Caenorhabditis elegans: one gene and its partners. The protein of the gene in region 3 purifies or fractionates together with the protein of the main gene of each other region. This does not show direct contact. Each region holds a gene or a part of one and is shown on either strand. Other genes may lie near its edges.

Region 1 (9,798 bases), on a different chromosome or scaffold from region 3:
TCCGCTGAAATCTCCAATCTTGGAGCGTTTTTAAGCCGGAAATTGATAATTTTGCAAATAAATTAATTTTGTTCCTTTTTTGGCTTCAAATATACCTAAATTAACGCAATTTTCAACCGCTGTGACACAAAAAATTGGCAAAAATGGAGTTTTTCGCTGAAATGTTTAACAAAAATTTAGCTAAATAATTTTATGACGATTTAAAATTTCAAAAAAAAAAAAGATTTAGCAAAAATCGTAAAATTTTGCCATTTTTGGTTTTTTAAAACATATTTTTTCGTCGATTTAGCTACTTATTAAGCCAGTATTTTAGCAATACGTAACTATCGGCTAAAAGTACCTAAATCCACGAAAAAAAAAGGATAAAATCACTCAAATGTGTCAAAAATCAAATAAAAATCAATTTCCGACGGCTGTGACACGAAAAAATTGCAAAATTGGGGATTTTCGTTAAAAATAGCCCATTTTTTCGAAATTTTGAAGTTCAAAAATGCGAAAAAAAAAACTCAGTTTTGGCTTGGATAATCGGGTTTATTTGATTATTGTTCTATTTTCCATATTTAAGTGATTTTTCTCGCGTTTTTTCGCTGATTTTGGCAATTTTTAAGCCGTTATACATAACTATCGGGTTAAAATATCCAAATCCACTAAAAAACAGGATAAAAATTATTTAAATATGCCAATATCAAATAAAAATCATTTTCCAACGGCTTTTTGGAGTTTTCCGTTAAAATTAGAAAATTTTTCCGCATTTTTTTACCGCCATAAATTTTTCTGTCATATTACGATATGAAATTCGGTATTTTCAAGTCACCTAGAGGATCAGAATCCAAAAAATCGTGAAAAAATAACGTAAAACTGCCGAACTGCACTAGTTAAACAATCGGCGAGTGCGGTGACTCATCCAAAGAATAAACAGAAAATCGATATTTTTACGATTGAAATTCACAGGAAATTCTTGTAGGGGGAAAAGAAGAAGAACAATTGTTTTAATCCTTTGCTGAGAAACTGAGAAACTGGGGGTGGGGGATCAAAAATTAATACCTTAATTGTTCAGTTTATTCGTGATTTTTGGATTTTTCGGGTCTTTTCCACGTCAAAAATGATTCTAAAATTCAGATTTTATTATATATATTATTTTAAATCAATAAATTCCGATAAAACAATCAGTTTTCAAGGAAATATGTGGACAGACATCATTGGACCACTTAGAAATTGCGAAATTCACTGAAAATTATTGATTAATTCGAAATAACTGAATAATTAGGTATATGTTAACTGAATTCCATGGAAATTTGCAAGAAAAATGAGCCAAAACGCGATAAAATCCTGGCTTTTGCCTTTTTCCGGTGCCAAAATGGTTTGTGTGCATTTTGTCGTAGTCCGCAATACCAAAACCCTAGACTTTACGACAATTTTCTTACTGTATTTTTTTTGAATTTTTTCGAGCAAATTTCTCCATGTAAATTACTGATTTAGAGAACATTTTCTTACCCCAAAGATAAATGAAAAAAAGTAAAAAAATCATGATTTATTCAAATAAAATAGACCAGCATGCAATCATAATCTTTCTGTGGGGTTTAAATAATTTTTAAAAACACATAATTTAAATAGAAAACATGAACCGCCGCCCAACGGGAAAATAATATGAAGGGACCAAAAGCAATGGGAATTGTGGAAGAACAAGGCAAATAAATTACAATAATTAATATCACACAAAAAACGAAAAAATTATCATATTTCACAACTTTTAGCTCTTCAGAGTTGAGATTCGGAGCCCAAGAACATTCTTTCCAACTTCTGCAACCTGGCACACGTTGCACACTTCTCCCTCGAGCCCTTCAGAGTACGATGCTCCACAATACGGGCATTTACAGAGTGGACGTCCACGGTAAAGAGGCACAAATTGACGAGAGCACACGACGAATGGATTATGCTCATCATAGGTCAACTGATGCGCGTCAGTGTTATCCTTCTCGGCGGCAGTCAGCACTTTTCGGATTTGAGCAGCAACTTCTGGTTTTGGAGCTGGAAAAAAAAATTAAGAATTAGAAATAAAATTTAAAAAAATCAACAACGCAAGCACGTACCGAGCTCCAATAGACGTTTGCAAAGTGATGCACAAGTCTTCATTTGCTTCATTTTGAAGAAAGTATTGATAGCAGATCTCAGTGTCAGGATACGATGCATTGGTTGAAGCTCAAAGTGTGTAAAGTAGGCAGCTAGTTCGGCGTTGCGTTTCGCATCCTCCAAATTCGTTTTTGGCAAATCTTTTCGATAAGTTTCAAGGAGAAGTGCTGCAAGATATTCCCGTGTGATTGTGATGAGCTGCTCCGCTTCGGCGACTTCTTGTTTCGAAGACACAACGATCAGTGGAACAGATAGAAGAATCTCCCGCAGTTTCTCGACAGCATCTCCAAACTTTCCATTCGTCGTCATTTGATAAGCCTTTTGCAGTTTCTTTGCAAGTTGAGAAAGTTTGAACGCAGCGACTGGAAGATGATTCTTATCCTCCTGGAAATTACGAACCGGATGAATGGACACTGGTCCAGCTGGTCCGAGTCCTCCCCATCCACGATGTGAGAGTCTAGAAGCTGCATAAGCCTTCACGAATACATCCTTGAATGGTGCTGCTTCAACGACTCCAATTGTATCATGAAGAAGCTTGATGGCAGTTCCGAATGAACCAGCTGCAACATGATCAGCAGCAAGACGAGAAACATTCGGCCATTCCGATGAGACAGCTGGAGCTGGGTTAGGAACCACTTCCTCATCATCATCTCCACCTTGATCATCGGTAACATCAGGAAGAGCCAGATCATCATCCACATCCCATCCACCTTCCTCATCTCCATCAACTGGTCCTTCTCCTTCATCAACATCAAGTTCACCATCTTCTCCGACAAGATACTCATCATCTCCCCATGCTTCATTTCCAACATCACCATCCTGCAAAAATTAATATTTTATAGCTCAGATAGCTCAGAAATCAATAAACTAACATCATCATCCATAACAGCAAAGGCAGCAGCAGCAGGCTTCACACCGCCAACATTAGTTGGAGCAGATTGTCCTCCTAATCCAAGAAGCTGTGCATCGAAAGTTCCTCGAGCCGAGGCAAGAAGTGGCCAATTCTCTTCTAAACGAGCAACTGGTGGTGGTGGGACAAGGAGGCGAGCATTTGGATCAACTGGTGGGATTGGTTGCTGACGACTCTCGAGTTCAGCCTTCAACTCCTCAGCTTCAGCAGAATATCCATGAGTGGCTGCGGCGAGGTAGGCCAGAGAAGTTTGTCCACAGTTTCGGAGCACTGAAAAATTAACTTTATACTTTATTTTGTTGAAAATGACCCAAAAAGTAACGAATTTCGTCATGAAAAATCCTGAAAAGTTTCTGAAAACTCACAAAAAAAGTTATGGCGGTTTTGAGATTTGGAAAAAAACCTATTTTCAGCTAAAATCTCAAATTTTGCCAACTTTAGTGTGTCATTGATTATTACTTTTTAATACATATTTTGGTCGTCTATCACACTTTTATTCGTTAAAACGACCAAAATACGTATTAAATAGCGATAATTGAATAAAAATCAAGTTCCGTCAGCTGCGAAACTGAAAAGTTGGCAAAATATGAGATTTTAGCTGAAAATTGGTAGATTTCCAAATTTTTTTTTGAGAAATCTCATGACGATATTCGGTAGATTTGGACCATTTTTAGGTTCAATAATTTCAAAATCGTCTAGAATTTGCAGAAATTCACGAAAAAAATACGCAAAGAGGAGCTAAAAATCAATAAAACTTTGACTTTTGCCCCCTTCTGAAATCCAGCTGCACATTTTTACCTTTAACTCTCTCCTCAACATCACCAGTGTAGAGAGCTGTCTGGAAATGTCCGTGAGCATCATTTCTAGCCTGTGCAATCTTCATCATCTTGACAAGCTTATCCGTATTTCCAGTAACAAAATACAAAAACGAGAGCTTCTCAAAGTTTTTCGTTCGTTGATAGCTCATCTCAACAATTTGATGATTGCCTTGAAGAAGAGCAGTCTCTCCGAGAGCCTCCCAGACTGCTGGCTCGTCGAGCTTCTTGGCGGCTTCCAACGCGATTTCCAGGTTTCCACATTCAATTGCCAACCCGAAGCGAGTCTTCTCATCCTTGACAAAGTGAAGAGCAATCTCTGGGTAACCCTTTTTCTCGAGATATCCAATGATGGATTGACCGACGAGATTTGCGGATCGAACCATGTTGACAACTTCATCGATTCGTTTGTTAATCAAAGCAAGCTTAAACTTGTAATCAGAATTATCAATTGGAACTTCAACTGGTGTAGCGTCACGATTCAAGCAGTAGAGCACGTTTCCTCGAATAGCCAGAATGTACAGAGGAAGATCCAGAGTACGAACGATTCCACAATCTCCAGAATTGATTGCATATTTGATGTGATTGCTAGTGGTGTAGAGGAATACCGAGTCATCATCCCAAGCTCCACTCTTCACACGAGTCGACTCCTGTTGGGTACACAGAATCTCCAATTTACGGTTGACCAAGGTCAGCGTGTGCTTTGAAAGAAGAGCTGCGAATTCCATAGACTTGCTCCAAATCACATAACGAACTTTCGACACTTTCACTGAAGCAGTCACAATCTTTTGCTGAACATCAAACAGTTGAAGCCCATCATCATTTCTCAAAAGGAGCATTCCAGTTCCGGCATAGAAAATATCGTCGACAGCCGTGTTGATATTCTCGAGTTTGCGAAGTTCCTTGTTCGTCAAATCACGCAACGACACATTCTGAGCCTTGTCAAGAACTGCAAAACGATTACGAGCAACCCAAAGTGCATTGATTCCGGTGCTCTTGACGCACGCAGCTTCAGTGGTTCCATCAGAGTTACTGGCAACTTTGTACAGCTCAAAGGCGCATAGATCCTTATTGTGAGTACGGCTTGTGAGAAGGAAGGTTCCCTCGGCAGGATTGAAGGAAAGAGAGTAGTATGGTTGCATGAATGGTTGTGGGTAACGGAGCTTGCACAGAGCAACATCCTTGCTGAAAATTTGATTTTAGAGGGGTTTTTGCTTGTACATCCCCTCTGAATGTACAAAAAATAACGAATTTTGTAGTGAGAGTCCTCAAAATTTCCGGAGAAAAGCTCTAAATTTAGCTAAGATCTCCAACTTCGTACTGAAAATAACAGATTTTTTAGATTTATCAAATTTTTAGCTTTAAAAATTTTTTTCCTGCATTTTACGAACAAACCTTCTGTTAAACAGTGAAAATCGAATTTAAAATGACTAAAATTAACTTTTTTCGTCCACTGGTTGTGAAATGGGTTGAAATTGAAGAAATCAACGGGATTTTTCTCATTTTCTAAATATTCTCCTATTAAAAATCGGTTTTAGTAAAAAAAAATGGTTTAAAACCGATTTCTAATAGAAAAATATTCAGAAAATCAGAAAAATCCCGTTGATTTCTTCAATTTCAACCCATTTCACAACCAGTGGACGGAAAAAGTTAATTTTAGTCATTTTAAATTCGATTTTCATTGTTTAACAAAAGATTTGTTCGTAAAAAGCAGAAAACATTTTTTGAAAAGCTAAAAATTTGATAAATCTCAAAAAAAACTCTGCTATTTTCAGTGGAAGTTGGAGAATTTAGCTATTGAAATTACGCCTTTTTTCCGATTTTTTGGAGGCTCTAAATACGAAATTCGCTTAATGGGGCACATTTAAAGTTTTTCATTTAAAAACTACTGAGACTCCACAAAAACATGATTCAGTGCGCCGGAAAATGCATTTTCGCAACTCTCGCACGCTTTTTTTCGCAAAAAAAAAACGCTAATTCTGTGCAAAAATGCATTTTGCGGCACACTTTTCTTGGCATCAAACTACTCACTTGGTTGTCAAATCGAGCTTGCGAATTTGTTGTCCCTTCACATAGAAAACCAAATTATCACTGACACAATAAGCCGGGCGTTCTCTTTGAATTTTAAAAACGACCATTCCATTGTCATGTCCTGCGGCGAACATGTTCAAGCTTGGATGGGCGGCCAAAACCCAGAAACGCTCATTTTCATGTCGGAAAACGTGAAGACTGGTACGCTTCTGCATATCCCACACACGAATCGACTTATCCTCCGAGTTGGAAAGAATCAAGTCAGCATTTGGATGGAAGATCACAGATGAGACGTTATTGTAGTGTCCACGGCACGAGTCGAGCTCCCAGGCTTTCGTCTCATTGTAACGCCAAATCTTGACTTGACGATCATCGGATCCCGAGACTAGAATTGGATTGGTATGATGGAATGCAACCCAGTTGACTCCACGATCGTGTCCCTCTAGCACATGCTTCACAACTGCATCAGGTTGCCCGAATAGCTCAGCTTGTTGCCCTCCGGTTGGCCGGCTTGGAGCACCTCCACCAGGCATTTGCTTCTTCCGAAGTCCAGAAATATCCCAAACACGGACGGTCTGATCCAAGGAGGCAGAAGCCACAAGATCTTCGGTTGGGTGGAATTGAGCACACATGACGTAGTGATTGTGTCCGGTGAGGATGGCGATCGAGTTTCGGCTCTGCCAATTCCAAATCCGAACCGTTTGATCGTCGGACGCAGAAATGATCCATGGATACTTATGATGGAAGAAAGTGGTACGAATATAATCCAAATGTCCGAGAAGTGTGAAAATACAGCGTTTCTGCTTGTAATTCCACACTTTAATCTTATAATCATCTCCTCCAGACACAAAGATCGGCTGATCATGATGGAAGCAAATTCCTCTCACTGGACCATCGTGCTCGTCGAACTTCTCGAGAAGAACGCACATTCGGTAGTCCCAGAGTTGAATGACTCCACTGTGCAGCGATGTGAGCACCCATGGCCGAGTTGGGTGGAACGAAATTCCTGGAAAATTGGGAAATTATTGAAAAATAATGCCAAAAACCAAAATATTTACCTTTAACCCTAGCGGATTTTGATTCAAATTTGATAAGGAGCGACATGATATCCGATTTATAGTCGGTAACCAGTCAAAAACTGCTCCTCGGCGTGAATGAAGGTTCTGAAATTATGGAAATGACACGTGGATATATAAGAATGTTTAAAAAAAACAGACAAAAATGCAAAAAATCAATGAAAAAACTTGGAATTTCGATTAAATTGATAAAGAAACTACGAAAAATACCATAAAAATTAAGAATTTCAGAGATAAAAATCGGTAAATCCACGTTAAAAGAGACAGAAAATGGAGAAAAGAGGACAACGTGGAAACCTGCGCATCAAACGGAATGTGTGCAAACACGGCGACGCGAAACTGCACAGTTTAGGAAAAATGACCGTTAAAGGGGAATTTTAAGTGGGAATTGACATAAAAAAGTGCTGAAAATTGAGGAAAATGGAGGTTTTATTCGGAGAAAGTAGTTTTTAACTGAAAAATTAGGGTTTTTGAAGATTTTTCCCACGTGTTCATATTTAATTTCTTCTCAAAATGTCATTTATTGCTTAAATATTTCAATTTTCTTCTTTAGAAGCTTCTAACTCCATGGCAAAACCGATTTTATATTCATATTGGCGTTCGTCGTGTGCCTGGAGAGTTCGCATCGGTAATTTTAGCTTGGAAATTCTATAAAATACTGATTTATAGCACTTGCTCTGAAAAATATCGACTACGAATACCGGCCAATCGACTTATTTTCTGAAGAATCCAAGGTTAGAAAATTTCCGGCAAATTGGAAAATTGCCGGAATTGAAAATTTCCGGCAAAATTCGCCAGAGCGGCAAATTGCCGGGATTGAAAATTTTCGGCAAATCGGCAAAGTGCCGAAATTTAAATTTCCGGCAAAATTCGGCCTAGCGGCAAATTGCCGATTTGCCGGAAAAAACCACAATTTGTCGAAAACTTTTGGCAACGGTAAATCGGCAATTTGCCCAAAATTACAATTTCCGGCAAATCGAAAATTTAATGAAAATCAAAATTTTCGGGCAAATTGGAAAATTGCCGGAATTGAAAATTTTCGGCAAATTCGGCATATTGCCTGAATTGAAATTTCCAGCAAATTGCTAGAATTGAAAATTTCCGGTAAATTGGAAAATTGCCGGAATTGAAAATTTCTGGCAAAATTCGGCAGAACGGCAAATCGCTGATTTGCCGGAAAAACACAATTTGCCGAAAACTTTCGGCAACTTGTGGTTTTGCACATTTTTTTCTGGAAATTTCAGAATTTCAATTTTAATCGGTAAAATTCGGCAAACGGTAAATCGGTAAATTGCCGGAATTGAAAATTTCCGGCAAACCGGCAATTTGCCATCCACCCCTGCCCTACTCCCACTTCCATAGAAATATAGCTGTATTTCAGAACAATGCAGAGTTCGTCAAGCACAACCCAGCGAAAAAAGTTCCAACTTTAGTGATAAATGGCTTATCACTGACAGAAAGCTTGGCAATAATCGAATATTTGGATGAAGCCTATCCGGATCCTCCGTTCCTTCCAAAAGAATTGGATAAGAGATCGTATTCAAGAGCTATCGCACTTCATGTGAGCTTTTAACATTCTTTAACAACTCTAAGCGAGCTCTTTTCAGATAGTCGCAAGTATTCAGCCACTTCAAGCAATCAATATCCACAAAATGCTCAATGAAAAGGAGCCGGGATACGGTGACTTTGTGGGTTCTCACGTGGTGTCAGAGTGTCCCATGTCGGGTTGATCTACCTAGATCTACAAAAAATGCGGGAGAAGAGACGCAGACTTCTAGAACGTGCTGCTGACGTCACATTTTATCGGTGAAAAAAATTTCCGCATTTTTTGTAGATCAAACCGCAATAGGTTCCAAGAGGCGTTTCCCGATAGTTCAAAATGTATTTCAGTGGTGCAATCACTTTGTGAACAAGGGATTCTTAGCTCTCGAAGAACTTTTGAAGAAGCATTCTGGGAAATATTGTGTTGGAGATCAGCTTACAATTGCTGATATCAACTTGCCATCGATAATTTATAATGCGAAAATGTAGGTTATTTCAAAATTTTGAATTTTTAAATTAAAAATTTTGAAATTTCCAGCTACAAAGTCGACATGTCCAAATATCCAACTATTACTCGAATTAATGAGATTCTGGCGGAAGATTTTAGATTCAAATTGGCTCATCCAGATAATCAGCCAGATGCTCCAAATAAAAACTAATATTGAACAATGAATAAAGTTTTTAATTGAGACTATATGTTTAAGATTTAAAAATTTGGAAATTGCCTGAAATTCAGATAGCCGTTCAGCAAATTGCCGGTTTGCCGGAAATTTTTTATTTCGATAAGTTGTCGGTTTGCCGGAAATTTTCAATTCCGGCAATTTTCCAAAATTTGCCAGAAATTTTGAATTTTGACAATTTGCCGATTTGCCGGAAATTTTCAATTTCGGCAATTTTCCGAATTTGCCGAAAATTTTCAATTCCGGCAATTTTCCGAATTTGCCGGAAATTTTCAATTCCGGCAATTTTCCGAATTTGCCGGAAATTTTCAATTCCGGCAATTTTCCGAATTTGCCGGAAATTTTCAATTCCGAAAATTTTCCGAATTTGCCGGAAATTTTCAATTCCGGAAATTAGCCAGTTTGCCGGAAATTTTCAATTCCGGCAATTTGCCGAATTTGCCGGAAATTTTCAATTCCGAATATGTCAGTTTGCCGGAAATTTTCAATTCCGGCAATTTTTCAAATTTCACGTAACCCCGAAACCTCCCCCCCCCCCCCTCCTCTCTAGTTTTTTTTTCGTATATAAACTCGATTTCTCGGCATTTCACCGTTATTTCACAATCCGACTTCAA
Region 2 (6,884 bases), on a different chromosome or scaffold from region 3:
TGTTTCGCTGGTTTTGACGGTTGGAGCAATGGTAACCCTTCCACTAGCCTATCATTATGTTAATCAGTTGAGAAATTCTTTGGAAAGACAGTTTGTGGTGAGTTTTCTTTTTTATATTTCTCTGGCCCGGAAAACGCCTCCGAAAAATCAATGCTGCCGTTAGTGGCAAGCGGGGAGGCCCATTCGTCACGGCTTGATCCTGAATCCTTTTCAGCTTAGCGATTCGAAATTTCAGATTCTATGTTAGAAATTCTATATTAGATGATTTTGGGCAAACCTAGATGACCTTTCTTGCAAAGTTTACGCACCTACAGTTCGTTCTATAACGCCTCGAGGCCCCTAAAGGTTGTGTGGGTCCTATACTTAAAACTCTCATCTCAGGAATGCAACGATGTTGTGAGAACAATCTACGAAGGTGTTGACGAGCTATCCGTACTGATTGCCACCTCGAACCACACCAGAAGCATCCGAGGAGCAAAACCCAGGAGACGATTTGATGAAGGTTTACTTTTTCCCCGAATCTGTACTTTTTAAAAACTCTCAAACTGTTCAGATGAAACCACAGGAACCTGTGATGGCTGTTGTATTCCTGGAGCTCCAGGCCCCAGCGGAACCCCAGGAAGACATGGACGCCACGGAGCTCCTGGAGCACCTGGAAGACCAGGAAATCCTGGAGAGCCACCGAGAGGTCCATGTGATCCAACACTTGCAAGCCCATGTGACTGTCCAGCTGGAGAGCCGGGAGAGCCGGGACCCCGTGGGTCACCAGGTAACAATGGATTGCCTGGATTGAAGGGGCGACGTGGATTCGATGGGCTGGATGGACGTCCGGGAAGGCCTGGAAAAACTGGAATCGACGGAGTTCCAGGGACAAAGGGAGAAGACGGAGCTGATGGAGAACCTGGGGAGGTTGATACTTCCGATGTTGGACCACCTGGGGATGATGGAGATGAGGGACAATCAGGAGAAGCCGGACAACCTGGAAATGATGGAAGAGATGGTAAACCAGGACAAGTTGGACCACCGGGACCACCAGGAAAAGATGGAGTGGATGGAGAAAATGGAAATGATGGAGATCTCGGAGAAGCTGGAATTCAAGGAAGACCGGGAGAGGAGGGGATCTGCCCAAAGTAAGTTGGTAGGCCGGCCTACATGATTACCTTGACCTGATTTCAAGGTTACCTAGGAATGCCTGCATGATTACCTAGGCCTGCAGAAATGATAAATTTACACGAAAAATTCCAGGTACTGTGCCATCGACGGAGGAGTCTTCTTTGACAGCGGATCCCGCCGCCGCAGAACTTAACTGATTTTTCTCAATTTCTCTGTCGGTCTCTCTTATTTGCTTTGAAAGGTGCTTTTTAGTGAAACGTGAAGTGCAATAAATAGTTATTGGTTTACTTTATCAGACTGATTGTGTATGTGTGATTCAACCCAAAAAAGTTCATGATAGACAGGTAAAAGGAATGAAAGAAAATTATAATTATTTCAAAAATTAAAAAATCAAAATTACTCGGAAATCCAGGAGGCCTCATTCAGGACGACGGCCTTATTGTCGACGATTTGGTAGGTAGGGACTAGAAATTTTGGAACTTGGGATAAAAAAAACTGAAAAATAAAAATAAAACTCACGAGTCTCATATTCAACCTTTCCGGTTTCAGTGTTGAATCTGGTCACAGCCTCGTTGGAAGTTGGAGCTGGAAATATTGAAGTTTTGTATGGTAGGTAGGTGTTTAATTTTGCCTACTTGGCCGCCTCGTGCTTAGGCAACTTTGTAAGTATGCCGAGGTAACTTTGTAGGTAGACCTAGGTGAAATTGTAGGCTGGTCTAGGTCACCGTGTTGATAGGCCTAGATTACCTTGTAGGTTTGTCTAGGTAAACTTAGGCAAACCTAGGTATTCTTGTAGAAAACAAGAGGCAATCATGTAGGCAGACATAGGTGACCTTGTAGGAAACCTTGTGAATAGGAATACAATTGCATGCAAGTCTCACAATCAGTAGCAATGCTGATAGGTCTAGGCCCTCTTGCAGACCATCCTAGGTCGCCTTGGGGCAGGCAAACTTTTTCAAACTTACATGCACATTGTGTAGTATGCTTGCAGTGTCTGAATTGAGCATTAGACCATTCACGAGCCGATTGGCATCCGAACCATCCGGCTTGAGCCTGAACAAAGCTTTTTTCTCTCTAGCTCAGCAATTGCTAAGACTTACTGGCATAACTGTACGGCATGGTCCCTTGGTGTAGGTGTTCTGCCACGCGTTCATGAGATTCTGAGCATACTTGCAAGCACCATTTGGGTCTTGAGCGGTGGCAGTCATGTAGGTATTCATAGCGGCAGATGTCTCTTGTTGGTAGTTGACGTAGGTGCTCTCGACGCAAGTGGTCAGGGTCTTACGCTCGTACATAGCTGAAGAATGTTCGAAATTTGAAAATCTGCTAAAAGATCAATGGCGCTTACTCCAGAATCCGGCTCCACACTTGAAATCCCAGTCGGCCAAGAATCCTTGGTAAGCGTAGGCGGTGTTAAGATCGAGTCCAGATCCGACGAGTCCGACGGTTCCGAGGCAATTGCGGATTTGAGCTTGTCCAAGGCATCCGTAAAAGGCAGCGTAACCGCTGGAATTTCGGAATTGAAAAGTTAAAGATTTTAAAAAGAAAGGCTTACTTGCAAACATTGACCCATGAGTCAATGACATATGGGGAGACGATGAGAGACTGGGTGATTCTGTCCAAGCTCGCCAAGTCCTTCCAGGCAGAGGTGGTGCTGAAAATATGTTCTGAATGACGGGGTGAAAACAATTTAAAGGTCAATTTCAGGTATCTAGTTTTAAAATCAATACTTGTAGACTGAAAATAATAGTGTTTATCTACTTCTAGAACTACTCGGATCACATTATAGGTATTGATATCTATACTAGGTGTGTTCTGTTGCTACTGACCTTATCAGAACATAATCGCATTAGATTTGCAAATTTTATATGTGGAAGTTTTACTCAATTGGAATTTGAATATTAATATCATCATAAGATTGAGAAAATTAACATTAAGATCAAATTATTATGTATATAACTATGTATATAAGAGCAAAAAATTGTTCATAGAGTTAAATGCAAAAATGTGTGAAAAATTTGAAAAAGTAAGTAGAAAAGCTTAAAATGTCGGTCTATGGTAATTTCAATTTTCTATAGAAATACAATTTTTAAATTATCAATTATACTTTAAAATGTAAATTTTGTTTTAATTGTGCGGCGGTGTTTGCATACTTTTCAAAAATATGTGTTCACCGACTCCACCCGGCAATTTTTTCGCAGTGCCAAGCTGTCCCATTACGGTTTGATCTACAAAAAAACGGGAATTTTTTGCACAAAAAATGCGACCTCAGCACGTTCTCAACCATGCGAAATAAGTTGAGAACTTTGCGTCTCTTCTCCCGCATGTTTTGTAGATCTACGTAGATCAAGGTGAAATGAGACACTCTGACACCACATGATTTTCAAAAAATTAGTCACAATTTCGTTTGTAAAACTTACTCAGTTCTCCAAAAATCTCCTAACTTGCTATTACAAGCCTGAAACTGTGCGCTCACACAGTTGTCAGTTCCGAATTGAGCAACAGCGGCTCCGTAAAGAGCTGAAAATCTCCAAAGTTATTTTTAAACCTTTGTTCGATAAAATCTACGTACCAGCAAAAACGATGGCAAACTTCATGCCGAAAAGGTGATGGTGACGCAGGGCTGGCAAATTGAAAAAGTCGTCTCGGGGATTGATAACGACGGCAAACCGTCGTCGGCGAATATTTGCCTGCTCCCTATCACTATCCAACTCATTTTATTAGGCACTCCTCCCTTCCAACCACTTTCATCTTATTAGCGAGGTGAAAACGCAATTTCAGGGTGTGTTCACACAACGTCATTTTGCAAATGTAATCAAAATTGGACTTTTATTATTTCTAGAATAAAATTTGAAAAATAATATTTTGAAAGTTAGAATAGGATGCTGAAAATTACAATGGAGATGGCGGTGAAGATTGAGAAGTTTGTAGTGGAACCTGAAAAACTATAAATATTGAAAGTGTAGTATCTTGAGTTTGCAGTTATCTGCGTACTTAAAGGCCCACGTATTTATTGAAAAAAAGGTATTGCCGCGAGGAAAAAGTGGGAATTTCTGTGATTTTATCAATAAAAAAACTTGATTAATGTTTTCTTAACTGAATAATTCTTATTAACATACAATTTTTTCGTGGCAAGACCCATTTGAATAAGAGGCATTCTTAAATGAACCTACCTGAATGCTGCCTAATAGCCTGTGCATCTGATAGCCACCTGGATAAATGACCATGAATCCGGATTCTCGCATCTTTCAATGATTGTTTATCCGAATCGCTTGCTGGATACATATCAGCACAATGAGATGTTCCTTCGATCAACCAAGCATCAACATTATTATTCGTGTTATTCCATTTGTAGCCAAGACCATTCCAAGGATCGAAGGATCCGTTTGGAAAAACGACATTGGTTCCACGATATGTGCCAGCTCCTCCGTATTTAGTACGAACTTGATCTACGAGTTTGAAAGTATTATCCAGGGTGTATTCCGGCCCAAAGAGATCAATGCATTGATCGGCGAAGAAACTGAAAATATTTTCAAAATACAGTACTACCTGGCTTTAACGTTTTGTTTGTTCTTACTCAAGTGGAACTGTAGATCCAAAGATTCCACCATTTCCTCCGTCAGTAGTCTGATAATATCCGAGCTCCGTGCAAGTCTGCCAGATCCAACTGCGAGTGCCAACTGGAATTTCAATTCGATTCTACAGTACCTTTACAATACTCGGAAACTCACTGACGTTCTCATTGGGCATTGTAGTGTCCGAATAGGCTTGAATAAAAGCTGTGTAATTATTTGGTCGGCATCCAGACGCTGATGGCTTAAACCAGGAATCATAAAGATTCATCTGGAAGTTAAAATTAGGTGCACTACTAGTAGAGGTACACCTACTACAGCAATAACTCTCTGGACCTCATCTCCAATTGTCGCGTTGTTTAGAAGATCACAAGCTGCAGGAACTCCCAATCCGGATCGTGTAGCATTGCTCTAAAATTGTGTTGTTTTTTGAAGTAATGAAGAGATGTTCATAATGAACCTTATTATCTCCGGTATATTGATTGATTATCTGAAAGTATCCATAGACATTTTGGAAAAAAAATTGCACGGCTTTTGATAGATTCGTCTCGTCGAAGCTGTCACAAAGACTGGAAAAATTGGATTTAGGACATATTGGTTAAGCTCGTGATAGTATTTTCAGAACTTCCCAAAAAGGTATGTCCTTTTTGTGAAAAAAATAATTCTGGAAGAAACTAAATCCTGCCAAAACTGACAAAAGCTAAGAATCTCAAATTTTTGAGAGATTTCAATGATATTAAAATTAAAATCATTTTTTCTCAAAAACTAGGTACATATTTTATTTATGAAACCCACTTGAATTGTTGTTTAAGAAGTGCACGGCTATCCGATCCATTATATGCTTTAGTGATAAGCTTTTGGAATGCAACCTTGATAACATCTCCACAGGAGTCACTAACAGTTCTATAAGTCTTTTCAGTATTAATAGCATATCCATAATAATCTACAAATACATGAACAGCAGAAGAAGATGATACTGCTCCTGCAGTCATTTCTGGATATGTTTCTCTAAAGAAAGCAGACAATGATCCAGGATATGATCCTCCGAATGTCACCCAAATTGGTTTGTCATCTTTGAAATAAAGTGCATTTATTTGAGTAATAAACTCTTTAATATCAGCAAGTGCCTGATCAATTGTCAAAAGCTTCATGCTCGCTGTTGTCTGATCTCCAATTGGGGAATATTCTTTAGATCCGTAAAATCTGTGCTCGACTTGAAAAGCGGCGGCTTGGAACTCTGCCACCCATTTCATCATGGTTTCTCCTTCATGACGGATCCATCTATCTCCATTAGTTTTATTGATGGAACTTTCACCACCAATCATCAGGAAGACGTATCCAGTTGTTTTGTTGTAAAATTTCCAATTGTATTGGTAGTGCTGAAGAGGTTTTTTTTTGACACAAGACACGCCTCTTTGGGATTTTTTTCGGTATTTTCCACCGAACGTTTTTGTAAATTCTTATTAATTTTTGTCCGATTAAAAGTGATAACAGAACAAAAATCATACATTTGATGAGTCAACAAATTCGTTCAAGTACGCAAAGGGGCTTTAATATTTCTAAGTCACGCTTCACATACACCTAGGGGGACTCACCTGTTGCCAAACTCCAATATTTGTTCCATTTGAGAAATGGTCGACTTTCTGTGTAATATTCGAGTAAATCATATATTTTGCATCTGTAGTAGGTCCTTCTGCGGGATCACCCGTCAATAGACCTTCTCGAGGCCTTCCAACGACCATTGGAGGTGAAACGTGGCATATTGTGAGCCCAATTGAGATAGCTACGAGGCATAAGACCCGAGACATTCTGGAAAATAATTGGAAATTTTTTAACGGTATTGTATGTCAAAAGACAACTATGGGACAACGTAGTGGACGAATTTTTTATAGCCGTTTAACACATAACTTTTATACTCAAAAAAGCTCCAATTTTTAGAAACAACGTTCAAGACAGTTCAAAAAAAAAGAAAACGAAGCTTACATTGAAGTTTGACCAACTGCCAAAAGTTTCCAGTAGCCAGCCGCCGTTGATTGTTAGTCGTGATGATAAGAGCAGAAAATCGTAAAATTGAGTCATACCAAACGAAGAAAATATGTAGTTTATATTTAAATGAATCTAGGTACTACAAAATTTAAGAAGAAAAGTTTATCAATTTTCAACAATGTTAGTTTTGAATGTGTTAAAAAATTTAGAATA
Region 3 (6,653 bases):
TGAACAGCTACCTTCATAGTTGATCTAGTAGAAACAACAAAGGCAATGGATTGTCCATCGAATGAAACGTCAGGATTGTTGTTGAAAGTGGTGCACATGTCTGAAATATATAAGATCCCTATTTTAATTCAAATTTACACAGTTCATACATTGTTCGCAGAAAGTTCCAGCAGTTCCGACTGGGCAAACACACATTCCTCCTCTTGGTGTACCTCCGTTTACGCATTGAATATTTGTGCAACTAAATTGATATATGAACGTCAATCAAGTTTATGTTATTTTCACTTACTATTGTCCGTAAAAACCTGGTGGACAGATGCAAGTAGCGTTATTTGTTGGATCGGTCACTCCGCCGTTCTGACAAGAGTTTGGTGGATACGGTGTCGTTGGCGCTGAAATATGTACACGTTTCTTACTCAGTTTCCGACAAAAAAGTTAGCTATTGCGCCAAAAAAGTGATAAATACAATTTTTGAAGGCTTACTTCCAGAGCAGAAACCAGTGGTAGTTCTTTGGATGGTGAATCCCTTTCCATCGTCAGCATAGACAGTAGCATAGAATGGTTGAGACATGAAATCACAGAAGTCGGCAGCTCCAAAATACATATGGAAACCACATCCGTCTCTGTATTTTCCACTGGAGTAGTACATTGGTTTTTGGTATTTGTTGTCCACATTTACATTAGATGTAATGGAAATTTCAGAGAAAAGACGGAATGGATCGGCTACTTTGCCCTTAAGTCCTGTTAGTTGAGCAACAATGTGAGAAGATTGTCCGACGACTGGTTCCGAGTCACTAGCATCATCATTGACTCCGACGCTAGTTCCAATGAAAAGATCATATTCTGAGCGGGCTTGAACACGGTACGAGCACGGAGTATTTTGCTGCAAACAAAAACATTTCAATTCTTTCAGTTAAGCTATGTAGTGAGCAAAAAAACTGAATTATTCATTTCAATAGTACTTACCACATTTGACACAACTGTGACCAAGTGCTCACCAACAACGGGGTTTGAAATCTCATACAGTTGAGTAGTTCCACTGTCGACAATCTTCAGAAGAGTATTGGTATTTCCATTTGGATCTGTGACAGAAACTGTTAACTGTTGTCCGACAGCGAGAATCATGAGCTCAGTGGTTGAAGTGTCAACGAAGAAAACTCTCGTTGGAGTGGCGCAGCTAGCAAGATCGTCAATAAGTACCGAGTTCATTTTGTAGGCTGTTGCTTTGATCACGTATTGGAAAATCTGAACAAGCAAAATATGGTGTTGTAGGATAAATTGTAAACTAACTTGTTGCAAAGAGTCAACAGATGGTCTCAGGATAAGTCCTCCACTGTAGTAAGAAGCGTATTCGATGGCTTGGAAACCTTGGCTCATTTCATCAAATGCACAATTAGATTGAACAAAGTAGTGAGTGTATATCTGAAATTGCAACTTCTACTTATGTTAACATCAGTTATGTAGTACCGGGAACTTCATGCGAGTGTTTTGCTCAATGACGGTTTGCCATTTCTCGACATCACTAGCAGTTGCGTCAGTGAACAAATAGACTGGAGATTTTTGATAGAGAGCGACTTCGTTAAAAATAGAGCCGATCGCATCAAAAGTAGCATCCGAACATTGTCCAACAGCAGTTGAAGCTTGATTGATGGCAGCCAGGAAAGCATTTTGGTCAAATGCTGGGTAGTAGGTGTTGGTGTAAGCACCGTTTGCAAATTTAACAATGACAAATCCTTTGTATACTTCGTAGTTGTTGCCGTCGTTACTTGTTAGTTCTTTGTAGATAGCACTGGAGATCGCATTTAGGTTTTGATTCATCGAAACGGTGCTTCGAATGATAACAACCAATGTCTTGTAGTTGGTAAGATATTGTTCCCAGTTCAGTGGACAGGTAACTTGAAAGATATATTTAATATATAAATATAACTGAAACTTAACATACCATCTTGACAGTTTGTTCCATGGTATCCAGCAGCACATTCGCATAGATTACCGTCTGGATCTGGGAATCCGGCGTTCATACAGTTAACTTTTTCACATTGTTTTCCATTAAACAGCTCAGAGCAGAAGCATGTTTGGCCTTGGTTAGCAACATTGAGGAGTGTTCCATTGTTGAAACAAGTTGTCACCGGAGCTTGGGTCGTTGTTGGAGGAGCTGGTGATGTGAGAAGTTCTGAAAAAAGACTGATTGCAATTTGTAGTTAACAGTTATGAAACTAATAATTCTTGAACGCCTGAGCTCAATAAACTCATGACACTTTCAGCTTATAGAAAACTAATCATTCAAATAACAAAAGCGTTGTTGACTTACGCATGCATGAGAATCTTCCGGTTCTTCTGAAGTTAAATCCGTTGGCGTCAACTCCATCAATCTGAAAGAAAACATTAAACATTTTAATTTGAACTTCGTAGTACATGATAGAAGTAGGCATTTCCAAGTTGACATTGCCACTGTCCTGCATAGTATTCATACCCGCACTGATACCTGAAAAAATGAATGGGGAAAGTGATTTGCTTTTATAGGGGTGTTAATGTTTTCAGGAGATAAATCAAGTCTAAATGCTAATTATTTCCACAAATACAGTTCCCTACCTTCTTGTGAGAGCTGCTCTGTAGACTGGAGCCAAAGAATTGCCTTGGCGAATGGTGATAGATTGAACTTCTGCAATATAAAGATTTTGTTTTATATTTAAAAAACGAAACTAACGAGCTGGTGAATTGTCAACGTGAGCGGCCATATACATCGGAACACCGTTGATTGCAGATTCACCATATGGAGGGTCGTCTGACTGTGGAGAATACACAAATCCATCCACAGCTTTCAATCCGCTGGGGTCACCCTAAAACTGACTTCATGTGCTTTTGTATTGAAATTTATATGGAAATTACTTAAAATTGAAAACTATAAATTAAATATGCTTTATATAATGCTTTATATGTTGGAACTCTCGCAGTTTTTATAAATAAATGGCTGCTGGCACAAAATTTATAATTGCAAAATTAAAAATTGGTTGTTGGTTAATCAAAGATGGTTAATCAGAGATAAAAAACCTTTGTTTTATTTTATTTTTATAAAAACGTTTTTTTTTGCTAGGAAAACTACATTTCATAAAATAATCTGAATAATGACATTCCTTATCAATGTCTGAACTTTTGAAAACTTCCCGGTGCACTTGAAGCAAAATATAAGTTAGTATGTATGACATATACAATTCATTTGGGCAGTATGGAACATCGTTGTTTTAAATATAATTTGTTCTTAATTTTAGTAGACAATTCCAGGTTTTAAGAATTTCAGAAATTATGTAACTTTAGGTAAGGTTCTTTTGATGAATTCACTATATTATTCATTGATTTGATCTTTAATAACGACATGGTATACAGTATTTTTATAACGCGCCATTTTATTTCCAATTCCACGTTTTAATTCATTTTTAGCGCGCCCATTTTGATATGCCGAACTCGTAAAAATGTAGGGAGGCAACTCATGGTTATCAGTTTTTCATCTTGTTACGATGGCAAATGTTGAACATTTTGAATGAAAATGTGCGAAATGTAACTAGAAGGCAGACTACAAAATCTCACTTACATTAACTTCAATGATGCATTCGCTTGTTGGAACACCCTGGTTATCAATGGACAAGGTATATCCACCAGATGGAAGATCGGCGTAGACATTCAGAGAATAGCTATCGTCGGCTACGGAGTAAGATGGAGAAAATACAACTCCCTTTGCATCGGTCATATTCACATATGGAATTCCAGCAGCCGAAACATGGATTTGAATGGTTTGGGTAGGCTTGTTGCCTGTTGAATCGACAGGGATGTAAAATCTTGAAAAAAGAAAATCGTTTTGAAGCAACTAAATTAAAACTCATGCTTACGGTCCACCACAGCTTCCTTGGATAAACATAATCTCAATACTGGAAGTCTGTCCAGATGTTGGTGCAGGTTTTGGATCAGTACAGATTGGGTTTTTGCATCCATCACCAGTCCATCCATTTTCGCATTGGTTGGCAATTCCAAGAACGGCAAAAATCGCACGTTTTGCTCGAATATGGAAAGCATCAGTATTTGTTAGTTCGGGATAATAATTTGGTAGGTGATGAAATACGGAATCTGAAAAAAAAAGTTGTTTTTGTAAAATAGATTTAGTTTGAGTTACCAAGATTTGGAGCAGCTGCAACTGCTGTTACTAATAAAAATAAAGCCAGTAGGAGCCGCATCGTGTGCAGTGGCGACTCGAGCAGCAGCGGACTGAAACTGGAAGGGCTTGTCTTGCCCTATCGCATATGTAAGACCGTGAAAATTTTTTATTGTTTGATAAGCCAATTTTGCTATTTGCCCCGACGTTTTGCCGACTGCCACATTTTTGCCTTCAAGAACTAATATGGTTATCAAGTGATTGCACATGGCACCACGACGACAGGCGTGTATAACGATGGTTTTTTGATAATTCTGAATATTATTCGAATGAATAAAGATTATGAGCAAAAGTAAACGTGGGAATTTACTTCACCTTTAGATATTATTGCTCAAAGCAACATTTACAACAATGAAATGAATGAAAATATTTGGCTTAAAACATTAAGTCTGTTTGGAAATAACAACAGTGTAGTTCGGTCTACTGGCTTTACGTTTTACTTTGAATTAGACTATTATCATTGTTGGGAATGTTTACTTGTTGCTTGTGATTTTAAAAACGGTTCAGTTTTCAAGTAATCAGATCGATCTCGGAAACCCTGAAATGCAGATTTGTCATGGATATGTATCAAAACGAATGCTATGTGGTTAATATGTTGTACTAATTCGGTTAATATATAAACTTGGTTGTAATAATTCTAAACGCTCTTCGTGCATACTTAGATGATTTTTTGAGATCGTAGCATTTTAATTGACTTTTGAACAGATTGTAGTTGTTTTTTTATAAATTTCAAAAATTTTGTAGAAAGTATTAAATAGTGTAGGGCAGAGAAAGAATGTTATGAAAAAGATTGTTTTATATTTCTTTGTGTTTTATACTAAAATTTGCATAATCACAGTGTTCCTCGATATGTTTGTGCAATTATGATAGTTCGCTTTTGATCGCATACCGACTCGTTGGAAATATGTAGTTTCCTGATATGATTCAATTTCTTATCAGACCTATCAATTTAAAATTGCCAACAAATTAATTTACGTAAGGAGTACACACCCAAAATGGAACTCAAGTCAAATTTTGTAGCAATGTTTTGAAACAATTTTGTAAAAAAATGCTTATTAGAAACATTGTCTAAAAATATTTAAAAATTATTTGGCTAAAACTAAATATTTTCCGCTCAGGCCGACTAACATCAACCGCACCATGGAAAGAATCAAATATCTTTGTTTATAAGATATAATTTGTGTACCTTCAACTACATATGAACACACCCATGTTCGAAAATGATTACATTACTGCTGGCACTAAATATCTGCAAATGCAATTTTTCAATTATTTCTGAATCAGTAATAGTGATTTCATCAGGTCAAGTGAGTGTCGTCTGTGAAACTATTGAGATGAGTAAAAGAAAATTTAAATCTTACTATGATAACGAGGATTATGTTCCGGAACTCAATGAACTTAACTTAACTGAACGTTAATGAACTGTTTTGAAGATTGCACTTAAACTGTACTGAATACAGTTGCTCGTTTCTTTAAACTAATCTTCCGATTAAAATAGTTTTGAACTCTTGAATAACATACCGTATTTCCTCTATTAGTCTTGCATGCGAAAATAATTTTCAATCGTCACATAGGGGTGCAAGACTAATAGAGGAAATACGGTAATAGCGTAACAAGCATAACAAATGATTGAAAAATTGGATTTTTGGCTAAAACTACTCCTGTAGAGCCGAAAGTATCGAATATCGTACTAAAACTGGTCAAATCATTTTGAAATGTTTATATTAACAGACAAAAACGACAAAGAATGAGTTTGTACCAACCTTTGTAAAAAGAAAAGCACAGTCCCCCACAGTGTTTAAACATAAATGGTTTAGAAATGTGAACAAAATCATTTCCAATTGTTTTTTCCACATTTTTAAAATATTTTCAGTCAAAAACGTGTTTGCGTCGCTTTTCGACTACAAAAAAACAATGTTTTAAACGCTTTTGAGAACTTTTACTATAATATTTTCTAATTTTAACACCATTGTAGTAAGCTTCGATAACTTCTCTACTGACGCTACTTCACCTTAGTTGAGCCCAAAAGTACCTATGCTTCCAATAAAGCATAGCAATGCTGATATCATAGTGATTATCAGTTTTTGATTTTCTGAACAACTTTGCAAAGCTTGTTGAGACCACACATAATATTTTTACACATTTACAATGGGCATCAAGTTGTTTCATTAAATTCGCATCGTTATCACACTTACACCGCAACGGAAGCTGATATGGATCTGTAGCAAGTTCAACTAACAAATTATCATCTTAAGTGTCACTTTTCAAAATTTCCGTAGCTAGTGTAATCCCATCGAATCAGCTGTTCGATCTTTCAATTAAAGCTCGTTGCTATCCTTTCCCTTTTACGCACCCGTCAACCTCTCATTTTCTCGACGTAAGACCAAAAAAAAATGATGGGAGGAGTTACTGACGATGAGTAAAGAGAACTTGCCTTTTCGCAAGTTGA
Region 4 (8,361 bases), on a different chromosome or scaffold from region 3:
GTAGGAAAAGACGAAGACAGCAAAAGAATAAATCCGGAATTGAATCAAATGATGAGAGGAGCCGATGATATTGATAGGGGTAAATTAGAAGTAAGTCACTTTATTAATTTGTTTTAATATTAATATTCTGTTATTTTCATTTAGTTTAAAAACTATCAGATTAATCTATGTGTCTCGTGTGATTAATTCTTCTCAAAATATAAATTTCCAGAAAAGAATAGCTGAATATCATACATGTGCCGAACCATTTCTTCAATATTTTCGTAAATCTAGTCGAGTTGTATCAATGTCATTAACAGCAGAAGCCGTTCCAAATCTTGTAAACACCACGAGAGAGACGTTATTAAAACTTGGATTTACAATGACAAGGAAAGATGATCACATTATTTGTTTCACTACTGGTAATTATATTTCTGTTTTAAAATGATTCTCAATAATGTTTTTTTCAGAAACAGCACACGATGACATTGATCTAACATATTACAAGTTGAAGTTAGTGAATGCTGGAGAATTGGGTAGAGCAAGTGACAATTTGGTGAGTTTCCAAATTAAATTTTCAACTGAACCATAAACCTTTTTTAATTTTTTAGACTGCTCAGATCTCAGCTGTATACCGGTATATTGCAAGCCATAACCGCCATGATGATAACTTTTTGGTAGTGGTTCCAAGTTTCAAGAATCAAGATGCGGAGGTTTCATTTTTAATTTCAAAAAATATATAAATAATTTTAATTTCAAGTTGCAGAAGTTCAAACGGATTAATTTTATGGAAAAGAAGAAAGAGGTTTATCTGGATGAATTTATCAAAAATAAGCAACACGACAAACCTCCGAAAATGAGGTTAATCTCATGATATCCAATACCCTAATTATTATAATTTTATTTCAGAACTCGAATTGCAGTCAATTGTATTTCATCGTCTCGTCAATTATTTCTATTCTTTGAACCATTTCCAACAAGTTTTGCTCAAAATATATCTCTTCTATATCTTAAACAAGTGAGTATTGTTTCCCACTTTATGGTGCCTGTCCCGTCCCTTCTCCATAGGTAATACAACCGTTGGCGAAACCCGCAGAATGTCCGCACATGTATTCATTCTAATTCAAGAGGAGAGCTAACACTTCAACTCTGGTTCCTCTGCATTTAACCGTGAAAATCTTTCGCCTTTTACTAAAGATTTCCGTGCAAAGGAGCATACATTGAGTATTATATACAATTTTTGGAGTCCCCTTGAGAAAGCGGGACAAAATTAATCACATGTTTTCGTATGAGTGATGGATCGTAAAAAATCAAGGAAATGTGAAATGTGTAGATTCAAAAATAAACATTTATGAGAACTGAAAAACTAGGTTATTTAAAGAAATCTCACAAAATTTCGACATGTTATATCATATTGTTATAGTATCATGATCATTTCAGAAAGAACAAAGCCAACCACGAGACAGTTGACGGGGTGGCGTCGAGTCGGAAACATTAAACAAGCGGCGAAGCGAATCTTCCGAACGAATTTCAAGACATACTGAAGAGCCACCAATGGAAAGAGAAGCTCGTTCAGTTTCGGCTCAACCTCGTCAAATGGGATTCCGTGCCAAAAATCGTATCGGATTGTCGCCGAATACGCTTTTTCCGTATTGAAATCGGCTCGACGCCTCTTATCATTTTGCTCCTTTTTTGAAGTGCCTTTTGATTATCACTTGTGTAGACATAAATATCTACAAATTGTTCCTGATCAGCCACACATACACTTTCTGTTCCGTTTATTCAAACACGGTTAAAAGAAAAAAAAATCATTTCAATCAATAAAACTCTCATTACATCATTTTTTCGTTAACACGAAAGTTTTGGGGAGGATGATAGTAGAAGTGGAAAAAGCCATAGAACAAAACTTCGAAGAAAACCCCTAGAATACAAAAAACACCGCACAAAAAAGCTGGAAATAACTTAGTGTTTACTTATAAATCAGAAAGGGCGATAAACATAAAAATTCAATAAGTTATGTGATTTTGAAGGCAGAAATATGAAAACGGGGAGGGATGAATTGGGTGGATAGTTGGCAAAGGGAGCTTACGACAGGAGTGACCAGTAGAAATAAAAATCACAAAAAAAGACGAGTGCGCCAAAAACACTATAAATTACATAATTATTTGATAAGAAAAACATTATCACATTCCCATAATACTAATTAACAATTTCCCAAAGAATGTTAGAGAGTGACCGACACCAGATGGGTTAGAAAAAAACCTCTTTTTGGGGTGAAACATGAAAAATAAAATAATTATCTATCGATCGATCTGCTCTGAATCATTCGTCAAAAAATTGTGCATGAAATTACGGATGGAATGGGGACATTGATAGGACGGGAGGGGGGGGGGGGGGGGCTTAAATTACATACACAAAAAAATAACACTGATACTCAGTCTTTCTGATCTTGTTGGGCAGATCGATCGACTACCAGTCAATCTTCCTCGTCTAAATTTAGATCGTCCATATTCAGGTCTCCATTTTCAGCATCTCCAAAATCTTCATCTGACCATTGCGTATCATCTTGGAACTGTAATTGGATTAATTGATTGAATTTTCGCAGTTTATATAATTTTCAAAACATTTATAAATAAATACTTACATCTTGAGCAGATTGTTGTGAAGACGCGGAAACCAAATCTGGAGCGGCGGACCCCCGTGGTGGGACAATATCAGGCCGGCTTGTCTCAAGAACAACATCAGGAGTTTTAGATGTTCCATGAGCATCGGCACTTTCTTGATTCTGAAAATAAATTGGTGATTCTAGCAACGAATAGTCAAATTCCATATGAATAAAAAACTGTTCAAAACGTACAGCTGGAACATGCACCTCTTGCTGATCATCATCGAATTCTTCCTGTTCTTCCTCTTCTTCAGGTTCAGGTTCGCGGATCGGTGATGGCTCACGAATAGGGGATGGCTGGCGTACAGGCGAGGGTTGACGTGCAACTGATGGAGGAGGTGGAGCTTTCAATTGTGTCTCGGTTTGTCTTGGGGCATTCTTAAGTACTGCTTGGCCATCATCAGTAAAAGAAACTGCTCCCGAAGCAACAGCTTCATCCAATTCCTCTTGAATATTCCGGGTAGCAGCTGATGGCACTCGAACGGATGCTGGGACTGGAATCTTGGAGATCTCACGAACGAAAGATTCTGCTTTCAGTGATTGGGTAAATCCAGGGAACAAGTTTTCATACTTCACTGGATCGGCAAGAGATTCTCCAATCTTTCTGCTACTCTTTTCGCTGTGTCCCGAAGCCTTGGCTTTCCACAATTCAAGAATAGATGAAACTCGAGACGGCGCATGTGTTCGAGCAAGGAACGCTGCTTCTGGGAGGCGACCAGTCGAAATAAGTTTGTCTAGACAAGCATCAATATCTCCAAGAAGCAAACTACTGAGGAAGCTGATATTGTGGCTTTCGGCAGCAGCAGAGTCATCCGCAAGTTTCTGAAGAAGAGGAGCTGATCCGGCACACGTTGCAAGAAGCATTAGACCTCCGAAATCGCGAGCTCTTCCAAGACATTCACCAGCAAGAAGAAGTTCCGACTTAAGAGTGGCGGCGTTGCTGAGAGCCTTCCATTTCTCTTCTGAATCGCTTTGCAGTGCCAAATCGTAGGCAGTCTTCAAATCTCCAAGAGCTACCGAGAGATCGAATCTGAAAACGTTCCAAAATTATTGCTGAAAAGCTGAAAATTGTCTTACTTGTGATCAGGGTCTTGAGAGACCGCAAGAGCCTGCTTCTTGAATCCTTGCTTTTCGAGGAAATGAGCAACACGAGTTCTCTGCTCTTTTGGAATTGTAGTAAGTACCTTGTCAGCAGTATCGAAGTCACGGCGCATTACAGCAGTTTGATATTCAAGAACAGATAGAAGAAGTTTGTATGAGATCACGTTGAGATCCTTATCGACGGCATAGACTCGAGATTCCTTAGCCATGTATCCCAACTAAAATATTTAAGTTTTAAAAATGATAAGAACAACGCATGTTTTAAAATCTCACCAAATAAAGTGGTCTATCAACATGAGCAATAGTGACAATTTCTCCACCGACATAATAGTTGATTCTATTGAGTGCAGTGGTGAAAATAAAGCAGTCCCCGATCCAGAATCCCGTCTTCACAGCTTCTGCCTGTTCTCCAATAACCTCAAACGCGTCTTCAATACCGTCTTCGGTCACTTCTGTTGCATTGGCAACTGCTTCAGCACTGTACTTGAGAACGTAGAATGAATCATCTCCACAAATTGCGACCATCTCTCCGTTGTCACTCCAATAGATGCTCTTGGAAGTAATTTCGATACGACGAACAAGAACGGCTGATTCCCAATCAAAGAAGCACAAAGAGTTGTTCGATCTGAAACAAAAAATTAAATAAAAGTCAATTGATAAGAGTTCAAAAACCTCAAGGCAAGAAGTGGTCCACCAGAAATTCCCTCAAGTACCATATCTGAACGAATTGACTTGTGATCCTTGAAGTTCTTCTTTATCTTCACATTGGTGGCAGATTCACGGACAGCAAACATATTTGGATCAACAGCCCAGACAAACTCGAGTCCTTGTCCGAAATCCTTGTTTCTGAGAGCCATTGCAGTATAAACAATGTATTCTCCGTCACCACAAGCGACAACAAAACGTCCATTAGATGAATGAGCAAGGGTTTGTGGATAGATTTCAGAAGATCCGAGATCTTTTACAGAAAGCGGCAGACGTTCTCCATCTGTAAATGAACTGTCTTAGAGTGATAATAAATGAACACAATTTCTCTTTTTTTAATACTTTCAGAAAACATGTGCCGAACTATACAAAAGTCGAATGAAAGTTTTCCAAACCTTGAATGGCTTCCGACTCTTCAGTTGAGATTGTCTTCAGGTTAGCTTGCTGAATTTCGGAGTGCTTTGCCCACAAAATCTTTCCAGACGAATCCATACTGACTGCTGGTTCTTCTCGGCCTAATTTCAACGTGACGGAACCTTCGTCGTATCCGATGGCAATAGTGTTGGCTCCTTTTTGAGCTTGGATGCACCAAACACGTTCCAACCCATAATTCAAGGTTGTTTCCAGTCTAAAAATTTTAAATTGTTGTTGTGGAAATCGTACTTTAATGTTCTTGCCTGTAGGTGTTTGCATGCCACAATCTAACAGTGGAGTCTTCGGATCCTGTGATTATCAATGGCAGTTCTGGGTGGAAACAAACTGAAGACACATTTTGCGCATGTCCATCGAGCGTTTGCACACACGTTTTATTCTGAAAATATCATTTTGGATGAATGCAAAGAGAAAAAAAACTTACTTGGTAATCCCAAATCTTGACCAGATGGTCATCAGCTCCAGAAATAATGTATGGTTTCTCTCCACCATGATAGTAATCGACACAGTTGACTCCTTTCTCGTGTCCTTCCAAAGTGAAATTCGGAACATTCGATCCGAACTGCCATACTTTGACAGTTTTGTCAAGAGAAGCAGTTGCAAAAGTGTTATTATCTTTTGGATTGATGGCAATCTGCATGACATAATGAGTATGCCCTTCGAATGACTGTTTCATTGCCCATTTGTTATCCCAATCCCACATTTTAACAAGCATGTCGTCGGATGATGAAATGACGTAGGGAAGTGTTGGATGAACAACGAGCGATCGGAGATAATCAGAATGTGCTTCGAATTGATGAACTCGTTCCAATGTGTTGTAGTTGAAAACTCTAATATGCATATCGTCAGATCCCGTGACAACCCAGCTCTTTCTTGGAACGAACTTCGCTGCACGAACTGGTACGTCACACACCTGCAAAATTTAGATTCAGTTATTTCGTAATTTCATGAAGTTTGCACATAAATTTGAAAAAAAGCTTACTTCAAATGACTTTACAAGCGTTTGTGTTTCGTAATTCCAGATGTGAACATTTCCATTGTAAAGAGCAGCTAGAAGCCATGTTTCGACTGGATGCAAGTCGACACATTTCACGCGGTCCGAACGAGCCAGAAGCTTTCTTTTTACATCAAGTCGGAGAGGCATCTTGTTCTGAAAAAAAGCTAAAATAAATAAACTCAATGTAAAATTAAGCTGAGCACGAAGAGGAAGATTTGCAAATAGTCAGCTTATAGAAATAAAATAAAACCGAAAGAACATTCAAAAATCGATAATATTCTGGATTTTTAGAATTCAGATGTTTAAATCAACCGAAATTAATCTTTTTTAGAAGAAAATCTTAAAATTCATCAAAAGATACGTTGGCGAAACGATAGAACACTCAAAAGGTAGAGGCGCATCCATCGCCAACTCAGAAAGCCCCGATCGTATCGAGACCACAGCGGGAAAGTCGGCGTGCCTTTGACTTTTTTGTCTGCGTTTCTCACATTTGTGAGGTGTCTCTTACGAACGGTGGCTGCTTCGTGGCAGATTTTATAAATAAAATTGCATTCAGGAAATGTTGTAAAATGAATGAAAAAAAATTACGAGAAAAATCAACTTTTTTTGAAACTGATAGTGAAGTTGTTGAATGTTTATGCAAATTTTGCTCTGGACAACCTTAAACGTTTTAGATTTTTCAAAAAACTCAGTTATATCTTAAAATCGAAGAGGCCCCCTTTGCAGCCTTAGTTTTACCTGATTATGGCAATCTTCTTGCTTATTGTTGTGTTCTCCACAATGTCCAAACCAAGAGCAATATTATAGTAGAAAGAGTACTCGATACGAGTCAGGAATAATAAGAATAACCGATTTTGCTCGTTCTTTTTGTAAATTATCAAGAGAATTTACATAAATTTAGCTAATTATTTATGTAAAATGTGTGTGTGTGTGTGTGTGGAAATGGTATGATTCTTATAATATTGACAACACAATGCTCAAATACAAATAATCAAAACGTAATGCAACAACTGGTAGAAAATAAATAGCTTTCTGTGGGACTTCAAAAATATGGAACTTTTGGTCATTTTCGTTGTGGTTCCATGGTACGAACCCATGTTCATACAGGGTGGGCCAAAAGTATGGTAACACATGAAGCGCTCTTTTACATGAGATTTTCGCGCGACTGCCACGTCATACGTACATTTTTCTATCGAATACTGATAGCTGAATAAATTTCCTTCAATTTGACCCAAAATTTGTAATGTTTCCCAATAAGGTGCGATTTTAATCACCTCGGCAATTTGGCGAACCCTTTTTAAAACGGCATTTTGGCACGCGGCACTTCCCACACAAACGCACCTCCCACGCACGCCAATAATTTTCAGATGTATGATTTTTATGTTAAATTGAAAGTTAAAGAAATGAAGAAGCGTTTTTGATTGTTTTTGTAGCATATAAAAATTTTCTGTGTCGACACTGGCGCCTAGCAAGAACCTTTGAATATTTCATGAATTAAACTTTCCGAAATTTACTCAGTTTTTTTGGTTTCACAAGGCGTAACGACCCACAAAATCAGCAGAGCTAATTTTTTTCTAAAAATTCTGAAAATTCAGGTCAAACCGTGCCAAAAAGTACTAAAATGAATACTGGTGCCGCCGCTCACATCCATCTTTCTGGCGACTGTGTCATTCAAGACCTAAACTACTGCCACAGTCCGTACAGAAATACCACGATAGAAATTTTTTGGATTTTTGTTTTTAAAGAATCTCCAGACCAAGAGCATTCTTTGAACTATAAAAACTTGTAAGATACTTGATGGATTCCTCGAGAAAAATGTAGAAATCCCGCAGAATGCCGACTTGCGTGCCATAAAGATCGTGATCTCAAAAGTTCTGAAGGCCTGCAGCAATGCGGATGGGGATATTTTGAAAATTCAAAACGTTAATCTGGTCAGTATTTTATGGAGAACAAAACTTGTACACATTGATGTAATAACTCCCTCCACACGTGAAGTTATAGAGCTGCAAACGTGTTACCATACTTTTGGCCCACCCTGTATTTACTAATTCTGTGCACGACTTATGAGGTGAACAACGAGTCTCTTGTTCTGTTCTCTGTGTGTGTGTTAAGTTGCAACCTTGATGCAATTAAAAAAAAAACCCAACGAATTTTTCTCTTGCTTAAAAATTCTCAATTCAGAATTTCTTTCAACTTTTTGACGGTTATATAATTACCGAAACATGTTTCGATACTGTTCGTCATTTGGCACAGTCTCTCTCTTTTTCTACCTTTCATTCCGAGGGGTTCATTAGCCGGACAGGCGAGCGAGCAATTATCGAGTGAAAAGAGAAGTCAACGAAGATGACGAAGAAGAAGCTGCCTTCTATCTGGATACTTCTCATTGACGACTACACACACAATACAATAATATTCAGGTCACCGATTTATTGAAACGAACTAGAAAGACACTTTCCCATTCAACCTTTTCTTCCGAGAAAAC

The links.
Region 1: the proteins of hrg-11.3 (region 3) and copa-1 fractionate together in Caenorhabditis elegans (co-fractionation; one large-scale study listed by BioGRID). This does not show direct contact.
Region 2: the proteins of hrg-11.3 (region 3) and nspg-10 fractionate together in Caenorhabditis elegans (co-fractionation; one large-scale study listed by BioGRID). This does not show direct contact.
Region 4: the proteins of hrg-11.3 (region 3) and copb-2 fractionate together in Caenorhabditis elegans (co-fractionation; one large-scale study listed by BioGRID). This does not show direct contact.

What each region holds. Positions count from the first base shown.
Region 1 is NC_003279.8:2,893,812-2,903,609, forward strand, and holds copa-1 (Coatomer subunit alpha), read right to left. Parts: upstream 7,050-9,798; 5' UTR 6,991-7,049; coding exon 6,945-6,990; intron 6,893-6,944; coding exon 5,887-6,892; intron 5,041-5,886; coding exon 3,839-5,040; intron 3,311-3,838; coding exon 3,003-3,310; intron 2,950-3,002; coding exon 2,091-2,949; intron 2,029-2,090; coding exon 1,751-2,028; 3' UTR 1,518-1,750; downstream 1-1,517. Other genes in the region: gst-43 (maleylacetoacetate isomerase), read left to right, coding at 7,530-7,590, 7,632-7,696, 8,344-8,523, 8,570-8,650, 8,853-8,989, 9,043-9,163.
Region 2 is NC_003282.8:4,602,716-4,609,599, reverse strand, and holds nspg-10 (uncharacterized protein), read right to left. Parts: upstream 3,815-6,884; 5' UTR 3,711-3,814; coding exon 3,686-3,710; intron 3,634-3,685; coding exon 3,534-3,633; intron 2,768-3,533; coding exon 2,669-2,767; intron 2,620-2,668; coding exon 2,462-2,619; intron 2,411-2,461; coding exon 2,214-2,410; intron 2,167-2,213; coding exon 2,079-2,166; intron 1,699-2,078; coding exon 1,633-1,698; intron 1,578-1,632; coding exon 1,510-1,577; 3' UTR 1,383-1,509; downstream 1-1,382. Other genes in the region: col-110 (Nematode cuticle collagen N-terminal domain-containing protein), read left to right, coding at 1-97, 382-502, 554-1,130, 1,246-1,306; F19C7.4 (Serine protease K12H4.7), read right to left, coding at 3,986-4,050, 4,287-4,633, 4,691-4,793, 4,845-4,956, 5,001-5,096, 5,146-5,254, 5,481-6,064, 6,281-6,493; F19C7.2 (Serine protease K12H4.7), read right to left, coding at 6,877-6,884.
Region 3 is NC_003284.9:11,495,624-11,502,276, forward strand, and holds the start of hrg-11.3 (C-type LECtin), read right to left. Parts: upstream 4,377-6,653; 5' UTR 4,227-4,376; coding exon 4,166-4,226; intron 4,120-4,165; coding exon 3,885-4,119; intron 3,834-3,884; coding exon 3,590-3,833; intron 2,841-3,589; coding exon 2,708-2,840; intron 2,663-2,707; coding exon 2,593-2,662; intron 2,486-2,592; coding exon 2,416-2,485; intron 2,373-2,415; coding exon 2,312-2,372; intron 2,174-2,311; coding exon 1,943-2,173; intron 1,896-1,942; coding exon 1,468-1,895; intron 1,423-1,467; coding exon 1,291-1,422; intron 1,246-1,290; coding exon 967-1,245; intron 884-966; coding exon 484-883; intron 393-483; coding exon 290-392; intron 242-289; coding exon 150-241; intron 101-149; coding exon 1-100.
Region 4 is NC_003282.8:9,457,402-9,465,762, reverse strand, and holds copb-2 (putative coatomer subunit beta'), read right to left. Parts: upstream 6,033-8,361; 5' UTR 6,027-6,032; coding exon 5,865-6,026; intron 5,796-5,864; coding exon 5,307-5,795; intron 5,262-5,306; coding exon 5,128-5,261; intron 5,079-5,127; coding exon 4,846-5,078; intron 4,734-4,845; coding exon 4,418-4,733; intron 4,371-4,417; coding exon 4,019-4,370; intron 3,964-4,018; coding exon 3,722-3,963; intron 3,675-3,721; coding exon 2,837-3,674; intron 2,765-2,836; coding exon 2,624-2,764; intron 2,552-2,623; coding exon 2,456-2,551; 3' UTR 1,743-2,455; downstream 1-1,742. Other genes in the region: F38E11.6 (Adenylate kinase), read left to right, coding at 5-90, 212-401, 450-535, 591-692, 740-840, 889-997, 1,420-1,449. UniProt on the Caenorhabditis elegans protein: The coatomer is a cytosolic protein complex that binds to dilysine motifs and reversibly associates with Golgi non-clathrin-coated vesicles, which further mediate biosynthetic protein transport from the ER, via the Golgi up to the trans Golgi network.